Linked DNA regions of Danio rerio. The protein of the gene in region 2 purifies or fractionates together with the protein of the main gene of each other region. This does not show direct contact. Links are inferred from orthologs where the notes say so. Each region holds a gene or a part of one and is shown on either strand. Other genes may lie near its edges.

Region 1 (6,307 bases), on a different chromosome or scaffold from region 2:
ATGCTGATGCTGATGCTGATGCTGCTTACTGCGCCATGGGAGAGAATATATAGAGTAATCATTTTGTGCTGCCATCTGTGTCTTAGTAGCCTACTAAGTCAATTCTGTAATTCTGTTTTACAGATAACAGCCTAATAGAACAGAAAGGGATGTTGTTTGTGCTGATTTGATCAATATTATGGACTTTAAGGGATATTTCATCATCCAATCTTGAAAATCCTGTCATCATTTATTAATTCATTTTCTTTTCGGCTTAGTCCCTTTATCAATCAGGGGTCGCCACAGCACAATGAACCGCCGACTTGTCCAGCATGTTTTACGCAACGGATGCCCTTCCAGTTTCTTTTTTTATACACCTTTAAAATGTTATTTTAAAAAAATGTTGAAAATCTGTATGGCTGATTAGCACTGTCTTTGTTTCCCAGTACTGGGTTGCAGCTGGAAAACATATGCCAGAATAGTTGGCAGTTCATTTCCCTGTGGCGACCCCCCAATAAATCAGGGACTAAGCCAAAGAAAAATGAATGAATGAATAAAAAACCTGTAACAACTGAGTTCCATATTTTTTTCTAAAGTTTCCAGGTTTCTACCATTATTTTACAAATCCTCTTTTGTGTTCAACAGAAAAGGATATAAAAGCAGGGTGGGTAAATTTACATTTTTGGCTGAACTACATTGTGTCAATGTAATAAGGTCAGATCAGCTAAAAAAAAACAGACAAAAAAAACAACTGAAATAAATTAATAGGAAAAGTTTATGAGAGGGAGTGGGTAATGCTGTTGCCTCACAGCTAGAAGGTAGCAGGTTCAAGTCTCAGCTGAGTCAGTTGCCATTTCTGTGTGGAGTTTGCATTTTCTCCCCGTGTTAGCATGGGTTTCCTCCGGGTGCTCCTGTTCCACCCACAAGTCCAAAGACATGCGCAATAAGTGAATTGGGTAAGTTAAAAATGTGTGTATGTGCGTGAATGAGTGTGTATGGGTGTTTCCCAGTGTTGGGTTGCAGCTTGAAGGGCATTCGCTGCGTAAAAAAATATTTTGGATAACTTGACAGTTCATTCTGCTATGGTAACCCATGATTAATAAAGGGACTAAGCCGAAAAGAAAATGCATGAATGAATGAAGTTTATGAATAATTTAACTTATGTGCATTTGTCTGGAGGAGTTTTATTAAATTCTTAGTATTAAAACCTGTTAGTCTTTTGTGCTACTATACTGTTCCTTTCTTCATTAGAGGGGTTTAAAATAATGTATGCCAATAACCTCAAACATGGTGGCACAGTGGCTTGGTGTTAAACACTGTCACAACACAGCAAGAAGCAAGGTTTGAGCCCCAGCTGGCTGGGTAAGTTGGTGTTTCTGTGTGGAGATTGCATGTTCTCCCCATGTTCGCATAGGTTTCCTCCGGGTGCTCTGGTTTCCTCCTTGGACCAAAGGCATGCGCTATAGGTGAATTCAATAAACTAAATTGGCCGTAGTGTTTGTGTGTGAATGAGTGTGAGTTTCCCAGTAACACCCATACACTCTTATTCACACACATACACTACAGACAATTTAGTTTATTCAATTTATCTATACGTGTCTTTGGACTTCTATACATATAATATAATAACCAAACCCCAAAAGTATATGCACTTTTCTTTTTCTATCTTATAGTTTGAAGATTTGTATTGGAATGAGCTAATGTAAATTGGGCCAAGAAAACAACACATTGTGCTGCAGTGGGTAGCGCTGTTGCCTTGCAGCAAAAAGGTCGCTGGTTCGAGCCTCGGCTGCATGGGTCATTTGGCATTCCCCGTGTTTACGTGGGTTTCTTCTGGGTGCTCTGGTTTCCCCCACAGTCAAGACATGCGCTATAGGTGAATTGGGTAAGCAAAATTGTCAGTGAGTGAATGTGAGAGTGTATGGGTGATTCCCAGTGATGGGTTGCAGCTGGAAGGGCATCCACTGCGTAAAACATATGCTGGATAAGTTGGTGGTTCATTCCAATGTGGCGACCCCAGATTAATAAAGGGATCTGAAAATAAAATGAATGAAGGAATAAATAGAATCGAATGTGGAGGACTAGTATAAATAAAATATATTAATGAGATGATATTCCTTCTAGAAACACGTTATTTTAAAGTAAAAATTCAGAAGAAACAAACTTTTTTTCTTTTTACTGAGTTAAATTTTTTTAAAGCCTATTAGGAGATAGTAGGCATGTAATTAAAGTTATGTAAAATTCATCTCCATACTGGTGGGCACGACTGCAGGGTCCCTCTGCTGGGTCGGCCCCCGCCTGTGCACTGACGACAGTGGGGCAAAAGAGAGAAAGCGAGAGGCAGACGTCAGAGAGAGGGATATGCAGCCCGCCATACAGAAGTGTATGGGGCAGTGGATGTAAATAAACCGTGTACAGTATCCATACTTTACTTATTCCCACCCCCTTTTGCCTAAGAGACGGGCTTGGATAATGATCGGGGTAAAAAGATTATGGGGGCCACTCAAAATTAAACTGATTACGTCCGAAATCTGATAACGTAAGGGGCCTTCTGAAAATCTCATTCATCTTTGGGAATCGCAAAGTCCTCGTAGCGGCACGACAGAAGACACCGCAGGAAAAAGGAAGGAGAGAAAGAGAGAGAGAAGGGTGAGGACCGGGAGCACTGGAGAGCTCGTCGCCGGCTTCCGGACATTTCGGGGCGGCATTAAAATCGCAGACGTCGCTCCTGGAGGGAAGGAAAACCAGATATCTTCAGCACTGGACTAAAATTTCTGGAAGCAGCAGCTTTTGATTCAGCGATGTCCAGGAAAGTCCAGAGAAGCGAGGTGTGCGCCGACTGCAGTGCACCAGGTAAGGCTGAGATTTATGGATCAATGCGTTGTTGTGAGCCATGGCTGTCCGGGACTCGCCTGACCGCGGCGGATTGCGGAGGAGTACCAAGCCCGCGTATGCGAAGGGATACTGGGTTAAGCGCGCCAGGAAAAATGCCTAAAATTAAGGCCGATTCTGCGGCCCAACAAATCAGATTTTAAACGCACTCTTAACTTATATGTATCTTTGTAATGCGGTTGAACAGTGGTTGTTCAAGAAGTACAATCTTTTAGTGTATTCACAAAACTTGCATGACTTTAAATTTGGACTGCTTATTCCTGCTTTGCTGCCGTGGCTAAAGTTTTACCCCTTCTCGTTGTTAGCACCCATCCCAAGTTAAGTTGACAAGCCTGCGAGGTGCTGTCAATTAAAATGACCATATTTACTCCACACTTAGATTTGTTTATATGCAGATATTGTAGCGACAGCTTACTATATATTTAAATTGTGTTTTAGTAAATACTCCGCACTGAAAGCTCTATATATCGAACAATGCTAACTGTCAGTAGGCTAGGCTTGGTTGCTAAGTAGCCTGCGGACTCTCATTTGAGTCTCTTCCCAGTTTTAAGTAAAACACGTTTGTGTATTTAGAATCAGTTTTTATGACTGCAAGAGGTCCTACTTAAACATATTCGGTACATTTTTTGCGAATTTAGTTAGTATGAACATGGGTTGAGAATAGATAGATAGCTAACTAGCGCTAGCAGGTTGACAGGACACATCTAACGTTAACTCTGACGTGGGTCAGTGTTCGCTTCTGTTTGCTCTTGTCCACTGAATTGCTTCTAGATAACGGTTGTGTTTGTTATTCTTTATAATAAAATTAATAGTGGTTTAAAATATTATTAGACAAACTGTTTTTGTAGTTACCGCATGGTAACGTTAACCTTAAATTAACGATATGCTACATTAACCGTAGTTTAACTTTGGTTTGACAAATTGTAGTCAATGCACTAAAACATGTGTAATAGACTTTTATTATAGAAAAACTATGAATAATTTGATAGTATGTTGAGTTAACTGATAGTATTGCATTTAAATGCTGGAAAAAATGCTTAAATCTGGTCTTTATTTTACTGGTCTTAGTTGGTCTCCCAGTATGGCCAAGCTGTTGTGTAGCTGGTCTCCAAGCTGGTCTCTCAGCATGACCAGCTTAAAAAGTCCCTAAAAACCCACCTAAAACTAGCCAACAGACCAGTTTGACCACTTGGACACCACCTAAAAGCTTTAAACCAGCTTAAACTGTTTTTAGCACAACTGCCATTTAAAACGTATCGCTACATATTTCCATATTTCTGTAATAATTATGAGCAGTGGGTGAAATCTATCAGCGGTAATATACAAATTTAAGATGTTTTTAGATTTTTTTCTTTTCAAAGTTACTAAATGGGTTTGTCCTAAATAGAGCATAGGTTTAAATTATTTATAGCCATTTCTAGTTCCATCATGCATGCCTTAAGACACAATTTCCTGAAACCAGGGTCAACTTCCCTCTTTTTCCCTATAGCATTTTTATTTTAAATAAATAGGAACTATGTCGTTCTCAGCCATTTGTCCTCAAATGCATTGCTCAATAAATTACCAACAAGCTTAAACCAACCAAATAAAGACACAAGACCGCCTTCAGTTGTTTACAAAACATGTTTTAAATGCTGCTCAGCTGTGCCGTCACTTCAAGCCCACCCTTGGCCTTGCTCATTTAGTCTCACCGTCCCCATGGGGGGACCGAGGGGTGGTACGGGGGGCATGACAGCTGCTCTCTCATCCACAGCTGCTCTCTGCTCTCCACAAATGTACAAGTGTGTCTTGTTTTTGACAGTTTAGTTCTGTTTCACCTCTTTGGCTACCTGCAGTCTTGCTGTGAGCTCGACCAAAAGCTGTCACCGATGCCTGTGGGTTCAGTTATCAACAAAAATCCCCACCGATAGTAGTCATACAGTGCAAGAGCCAACATATTTATGGCAAGAGCGGTTTCTAGAAACAAAAATCACTGACAACATGTGCATGCATGTTTTTTTTTTATTACACTATGTTAAACCTAGCAGCAAATTGATTTGAGATTAGTTTAAGCTGTTAATGTTTACAAATGTCATTGATAATAACAATAATTAAAGCACAATCGATTTTTACGTTTTGAAGTATGTCATCTCAATGCATGTCTTCATCTGAATTTATCTGTTAGTGTGTGTGTAATTAAGTTCAATACTATTTTACATGGTGTTCTGTTGATTTATAGTTTGTTATTCAGTATTAATTTGAAGGTTTATCGTTTAATTAATAATTTATCAGTAAGTATGGTCTATCTAGCTATCGGTTTTAACAAAATCCAACATCGATTGACCTCTACTACTGCAGTGCACTAGAGCTTGTCATTTTCGTGTTTAACATGTTGTTGGAATGTAGATAATGGTAAGTGTGTTGAAGGCAAGTAACTGATGACTGAGAAAGGAAGAGGAGGAGGAGGTGGAGGGATGGTGGGCAGACAGACGGATGTATTCTGGTAAATGTGTTATTGGAATGAATGAATGTGGGGAAGATTGTCAATTGCATGGTCACTGAGGGCTGAATGACGCCCTGTGTGAAGAGTCTGTGTGTGTGTGTTAGCGAGTGGTGTGTAATTTCATTAGATGCGAAGAGAAACTCGGGTTTGAAGATGCTTCTGTTAATGTTATGAAGCACTTTTAGAAAGGATGAGGGTGTAAGTTGGCATCATCTTTGATTTTTCCCACACACAGGTGCTTGGCTTCGTTTCTGTTAATGTTCATATTTAGACCAATAAACAAGTTTATGGCACTGATTTATTTTTAATTAAGCCCAAAAATATTAGGTTCTTCTCTGCATGCTAGAATTTTTTTGGCTGTAAAATGAACATTTGCTGGATTTAAATAAGCCTTTCCTTCAGTAAAAAAAAACTGTCATCTTCAAAAATCCATTTTAATTTTTGATGAATGTGGGAGTTTAGTTCACATGAATAAAATAAATGCCTTTAGAAGTGAATAGACTTTTTTAAGAAGTCATTTTTCACCGGTTTCCGACAGCGAGTTAAGTTAAAATGTAGAACATGTAAAGCTAAGCTGATAATTGTGGAAAACAGAAATCCAAGTGATGGAGCCGAATAAAATAAATTCTGAGGCTAATTTATTCTTCTGTGGCCACTTTGCAGCCACATCTGATCTCTGGTTAAGTAGGACGGTGGACTCGTTCTTGAGCCTTATTTTGCACTTTATTGACGATGATTGGAAGCTGCGCCAGAGATGCTTTTAGACAGCAAATAAAACTCGTCAGTAAACTCTGAGGGCAAAAAAAATAAGTGAAATAATTGTTCATTAATGGTAATCAAGTTAAAATGTTCAAAAAGTCGAGATTTTGATTTTTGTCCAAATTGCCCAGCCCTATTTTAAATAAAAAAATATTTTTTTTGTAACTAGAAAACCAACACTTCATTTTAGCAGTC
Region 2 (5,809 bases):
AGGGAAGTAAAAGTGAAGTACGTCACATGACTTGCATTTTTACACACACGTAGTTGATTCTATGTTAATCCATTAAATCAGAAACAGGTGCTTCTCTTTGTATGTTTGTCCAGTGAGTACAGTTTAGTAAGGGGTGATGCCGAAGATGTTTTTTTCTATATTCATATTTCTCTTTACTTATTTAGAGGAGTCGGAGGGTTTAGTTTAATTTGTTATTTTCTTTCATTTGACACCGCTTGTTTAGCTTCTCTGAATCAGGTTTGTTTCAGTTGATTTGTTTGATTGTTTTTCATTTATTGTACACAGTTGTAAATATGCTTTGGGTGATTAAAATTTTTTTTTTCCTTCACCTTTACTGTAAATAAAGCAAACCACTTTTTGTTAAGTCCATTGTCTGTGTTGATCCATAGCAGCTAACGTCTCAGGGGAATTTTTAAAATATTGAGTTGTCTTAATTGTTTGTTTAGCCCTTTTCATCCTCCGGGCGACATGGGGCGTAACAAACAGCAACCCATCTGATTCAATGCTTGCATTTATTTCAAATAGATTACTGGTTGATTTAGGGACTGCAACAAATGAAACTCCATTAACTAGACACTGATTTGAAGCTTTTGGGATATTGCAGCCTGCAAGGAGCCAATTTAAGATTCACCATTAAAAAAATAAAAATTCCTTTTCTTTTTTTATTGGTAAAAGTTAATGTAGAATATTTAATGTTTTTTATATTGCCCATCTTCCAGTGCTTTTGCTGCATGGTACAGTATTTTGTCTTGTGGTACATCTGTCTTTAGAATCTGTGGCCTTGATTTTGTGTTCATAGCTGAATACTGAGTAAACATTATTTTACCCAAGCATTGACATAATTTACAGAAAGGTCTTCTGAAACATTTAAAGAGCAATGTATTTAATTTGCTTTTTACGCATATGAAGTTATTTGATTTGATGCAGAGAACAAAAATGTTATCTCCAATCCACACCAACACGACTTTTAAGACTGTGCTTTAGTAATAATAAAGTACATCTTCAAAAAGTCTTTTAGTATCTGATCAATCACCTTGTTGGCTCTTCTCACCAATCAGAGCAACTGAAACATAGAGTAGCAACAAACGGAAAGCATGTTTCTGAGAGCCTCTTACCACGCTTGTCAAGCGAAAGCAGCATGAAATGAGTAAAAAGCTGCTTCAGAATAACTGTTCTTGATTTTTGAAAGAGCTGGACAGTGTATATTAATTGAACACTTCAGGCCTCAGCAGCTTTTGATTTCTAGTGTCTCATCATTTATTAAATTAGAAATAAAACAAAAGTTGTACATTGACTTCTAAAGGTAATTTCATGCAATTAATTTAATCAAATTCATATTTTTCCTATAATGTATGCACATGCGTGACTTATTCAGAAGTTCTACCAAGAGTTTATTTCATGCAGGAAAAGGGTTGGTGGGTTTTGCAGACATATCGATGTATGAAGTTTGAGAAGCAGGATGTTTCAGTAGATGATGTTGCATGGGAACTCCCTTCCTCCTAATGAATAGATAGCAACATAGCAAAGTTCTCAAACGCAACTTAAGCAAAGATCATCGAAGACAGAGGAGGATGAGATTACAAGTCAAACAAAAAGACACAGGAAATGCCTTATCACAGAATGAAACAGAAAAGCTTGGATTAAACGTGTAACACCAGTGCTAGCCAAGCACACGGACACACACACACGCACACACACAAAAACTCACATAATCTACGCTTACCTTCAGGATATAAGACATCCTCTAAAGAAGCAGAAAATGGAGAGAGAATGAAGATGTGTATGAGAATAAAAGAAGAGCCTGACAGAAATATGATGGACAGATCAGTGAAAGGTGAACATTAATTCAGATCATTTCGAAAAACTGAAGATTTTACATGCGTTTCTTAAGTAGAAGAGCACCATTAACACCCGTTCTAATACAATCAGAGTTGTATGAGTGGGATTTGGGTAGAAGTAGTTGATATGCAACTCAAAAACCATCAAACATTCCACTTTTCTGTGAGATAACACCTCCACCGCAATGTGTGGTGAAAAACAAGAAGGCGGCTACCAGCTTTAACACTCACAATCAGTTCACTGTGGTTCGGTTTCCTGTTAGGACCACCAAGAACGCACAGAGGTAAATTACGCTCCCACTCAACATGTCATATGACTGTTTTCCAGAAAGCGTACCTCTTTATAGCCGAGAGCGGCGGAGGGCTTCAGGGGCGGCGCGGGTCTCAGGCAGCTTAAAGACCAGGGCTTGGTGATTTTAGGTGGTTCGAGAGGTCCTCGGTTAACCGCAGTCGTACCGAAACCGTGCAAGTGGTGGGAAGACGTGCCAGGCATGGTTAAAGGTTTAACATCAACACTCTGTAAAATACACAAGAACATGACGTTTGACTTACTGTTCAACTGGATAGAGGTGAAAGCTGCAAAAAACGCTATTACCTTCAGCACTGTTTCAAATGGACTTCCTACCTTTATGTAAGGATGAAGATGTTCTAACCAATCCTGTTGCTCCTGTAAGCTACTGCAGAACACCATGGTCCGATCTATTGAGCCACCTAAAAAAAAAAATAGTCAGCAAATAAGGAAGAGACAAGACTGAAGTACTTTAAACTGTTTAAGCAAGATTTGTTAGAAAATTTTCAGTCCTAAAAAAGCAACTGAAAAGTGATGGGTTTTTGAAAATGCTTTTCCATGCAGTGTGTAACAGCCAGTGGCGTAGCGGACGGGCCCGCGAAAATCCGGCAACCGCAATAATCAAACTCTTGAAAACAACTGTGGTCGGAACCAAAGTTCACAGGTCTGTATTCTCTGAACTCCTCTCAAGCGGTGGACTACTTCATTCTAATTGTTTGGCGCCGAACCGCGTCAAGCTCGGTCATAGCTCATACCATAAAGTTGACTTGATTTCTCCTCAGTTTGTGAAGGCTTCCCTGCGTTGTCGCTCCACCCCGCCCCCTTTCCCGCTCCTTAGTTTGTGATTGCTTCTCAGTTTGTGATCGCTCCTCAGTTTGTGAAGGCTTCCCCGCGTTGTCGCTCCACCCCCACCTCCCCAACTGGGGGCCCCGTCAGTGATCCCTGCAGGGGGGCCTCCACATTACTAAGTGAATGAAAACATCCAGCTGAGGTTTAAATCTGAAAGTGCACAGTATGAAATATTGATTCTTTAAGGAAATAGTCAACTATTAGTCAACTAATAGTCGAATAAATGAATTGTGTTGGGTCCCAATCTTTTGCTTGAACGTGTCGACGTCGACATGGTATGACCAAATATGAAATGCGGATCCTGTAAAATGCACTTTTTCCTTCAGACACTAGCAGAGAGTGGGGGATCACGAGACTGATCATGACATGAAGATGTTGATCACATATGGAGATTCTGCTGCAGGGAATAAAGGGTTAAAGCTTATTTTTACAACAATACCACAGTATAGCCAACCGTGTGCCGTGTTTGTTCCTTTCATTTTTCAGATTTTTGATACAATAACCTACGCTGCAATGTGTACTGACACATAAATTAACCCTGAAGCACTTTTTGCTTGATTCTGGATTTATGAACATTTTGGAACTTACTCATATTCAGTAATATTGTTTGCAAAAAAATATTCTTTATTATGTCACATAAAACACAAAAAAGTCAGTATTTTCACGCTGCACTTATATGGACAAGTCAGGCTCTAAACCATCAAAAATGAAAAACCCTTATAATGTCATATGCAACATTGCACCTTTTTTGCTTATAGATAAAATATGTAAACAAGTGCGTGAGTATTTCTCAGCATTTACACTTACTTTTATAGTATTGAAGTTCATATTGTTGGAAGTTCCTGATAATATTTCTGAGACACTATGAATAGCAGCTATGCTAATTATTTTGTTTATTCTCTTTTCCACCTGGGGATACTTATCCTGAGGCTTTTAAAGATTATGCAGTGCCATTGATGTGATCCATGACCTGTGAAGAAATAATGCCAAGGTATCCATAATCCTGGACCAGGCCGTATCCTGAGCTAATGCTGTGGCGGTCACGGAGGAGTGGAGAGCATGAGACTGATTTCTGAAAGACCCAGTGACAGACCAGTCTTCACCTTGATCCCGTGGGTCAGCTGTATACTCGCCGATGACCTCCAGCCTCCAGCACCTTGACTGCAGCTCTGCACAAGTAGTTTGGCAAGAGGGGAAATGGTCTTACCCCACTGAGCCTGTTCCTTTTAAGGTTTTTTCCTTCACCTTCGTCAATTGGTCAAGTTTGTTCCTCGCCACTGGCTTTCTTGGTTTGGGACTTGTGGAGCTGCACATTGATGGATTTGCTCTTCAGTGTTTGGACTTGATGAAAATTAAACCACACTGAACTGAACTAAACTGAACTTCAACTCTGAAAACTGGACTAACACAGTTTCAATATACTAGAACTTCTATGTTAAGCTGCTTTGACACAATCAACACTGCAAATGCACTATATAAATATACATGAATTGAATTGAGTTTGTTGAATATTGTATTGTAATTGTATTTGTGAAATCAAAGTAGTTTCATTGAGTACAATGATTTTTCAGTACTCACATAACACCTTCACTAGACTCAGAATCGAAGCTTAATTTGTACCGGAACACGCTGGATCTGGCACCTCATTTTACTGATCCCCATCCTCAAACGCCCTGCTCCCCCATCCGCTGTTTACTTTCACTTTCTTCCGCGACTCCGCAAGCCTCTTTTGTCCGCGACAACCCCCCCTGCTCTTCACTTTTGTCCATGACACCCCTCCGGTATACACCCCACCCCACGGATCCTAGGGTATCATGCCAGATCAGTTACCCCGATCTGTTCCGGGACCTCTCAATTCACAAATTAAGCACTGCTCGGAATGTATGATCATACTGGGTATTAGATATCATGGGCTTTTAAATCATTTTTAAAAATTCCTGTCTGGAAATTGGCAGATGTATTTTTTATGAACTGTAATGAAACACCTGCAAGAAAATTCTGTTTGTGTTGAACAGGTTTGGACAGAAACAAAGGTTAGAAAAAAACAATACCATTTTCAACTTTAGGTGAAATACTCCTTCAATAAACCGCATGCTGTCTATTTGTCATTTTAAATTCTGCTGCTAGTTTGTAGAGCAGCAGGCAGCACTAACTATAAAAAGCAACATTAATGACAGTTGAATTCTGTGACACCCCACTAAAAGTGTTTACATGGACTGAAACAAACCTGTGATCTCAAAGGCATAATGGCCGGTCTCTGCATCCTCTGGCTGTTTGGTTACAGAGGTTCCTGTCAGCGGCAAACGTCCCTGAGATGAGAAGAAAAACATGAATAAAAGCTCTGCGCTTCAGCCTTCTTCACAAATAACAGATGCTGATTGATTTAAAAACAAAAGAGAGGGAGAGAGAGGAAAAAATAACTCACCTGATAAATGAAACCACTCATTCTTGGGCTGGCAGACAGCATGATTATCACATTAGGAAACAGCATGAAGTATCTCTCTTCTTTTTCCTTGGGAAAAAAAAAGAAAGAAATGTATGTAATTTTACAATTCAATACTTCTGCACAAATGAGGTAAATTGCCACTACATTACACACTGTTCATGGTACGGATGCAGGTGTACTGCCTTACAGCAAACAAACACAAACATCAAATGGGTCAAAGACGCAACATCCTATTCTGTTGTCTGTATTAAATTTAAAATGCAATTCTTTTCACACACATAAAACATATTAAACATATGCATAACCAAAGTGTTACAATATTTTAAACAGCTTTTGTGCAGTATATACACAATATGGCAATATAAA

Evidence for each region. Proteins that work in one complex are often made in the same cells at the same time.
Region 1: the proteins of arhgef6 (region 2) and git1 purify together in Homo sapiens (affinity purification with mass spectrometry; 3 studies listed by BioGRID and IntAct, counting the BioPlex papers as one, with this or other methods). This does not show direct contact. The link is inferred for Danio rerio from reciprocal best matches to the Homo sapiens genes ARHGEF6 and GIT1.

What each region holds. Positions count from the first base shown.
Region 1 is NC_133190.1:30,983,524-30,989,830, reverse strand, and holds the start of git1 (ARF GTPase-activating protein GIT1), read left to right. Parts: upstream 1-2,328; 5' UTR 2,329-2,780; coding exon 2,781-2,832; intron 2,833-6,307. UniProt on the Homo sapiens protein: GTPase-activating protein for ADP ribosylation factor family members, including ARF1.
Region 2 is NC_133189.1:36,337,223-36,343,031, forward strand, and holds part of arhgef6 (rho guanine nucleotide exchange factor 6), read right to left. Parts: intron 5,510-5,809; coding exon 5,423-5,509; intron 5,307-5,422; coding exon 5,225-5,306; intron 2,571-5,224; coding exon 2,197-2,570; intron 1,766-2,196; coding exon of another isoform or gene 1,745-1,765; intron 1-1,744. UniProt on the Homo sapiens protein: Acts as a RAC1 guanine nucleotide exchange factor (GEF).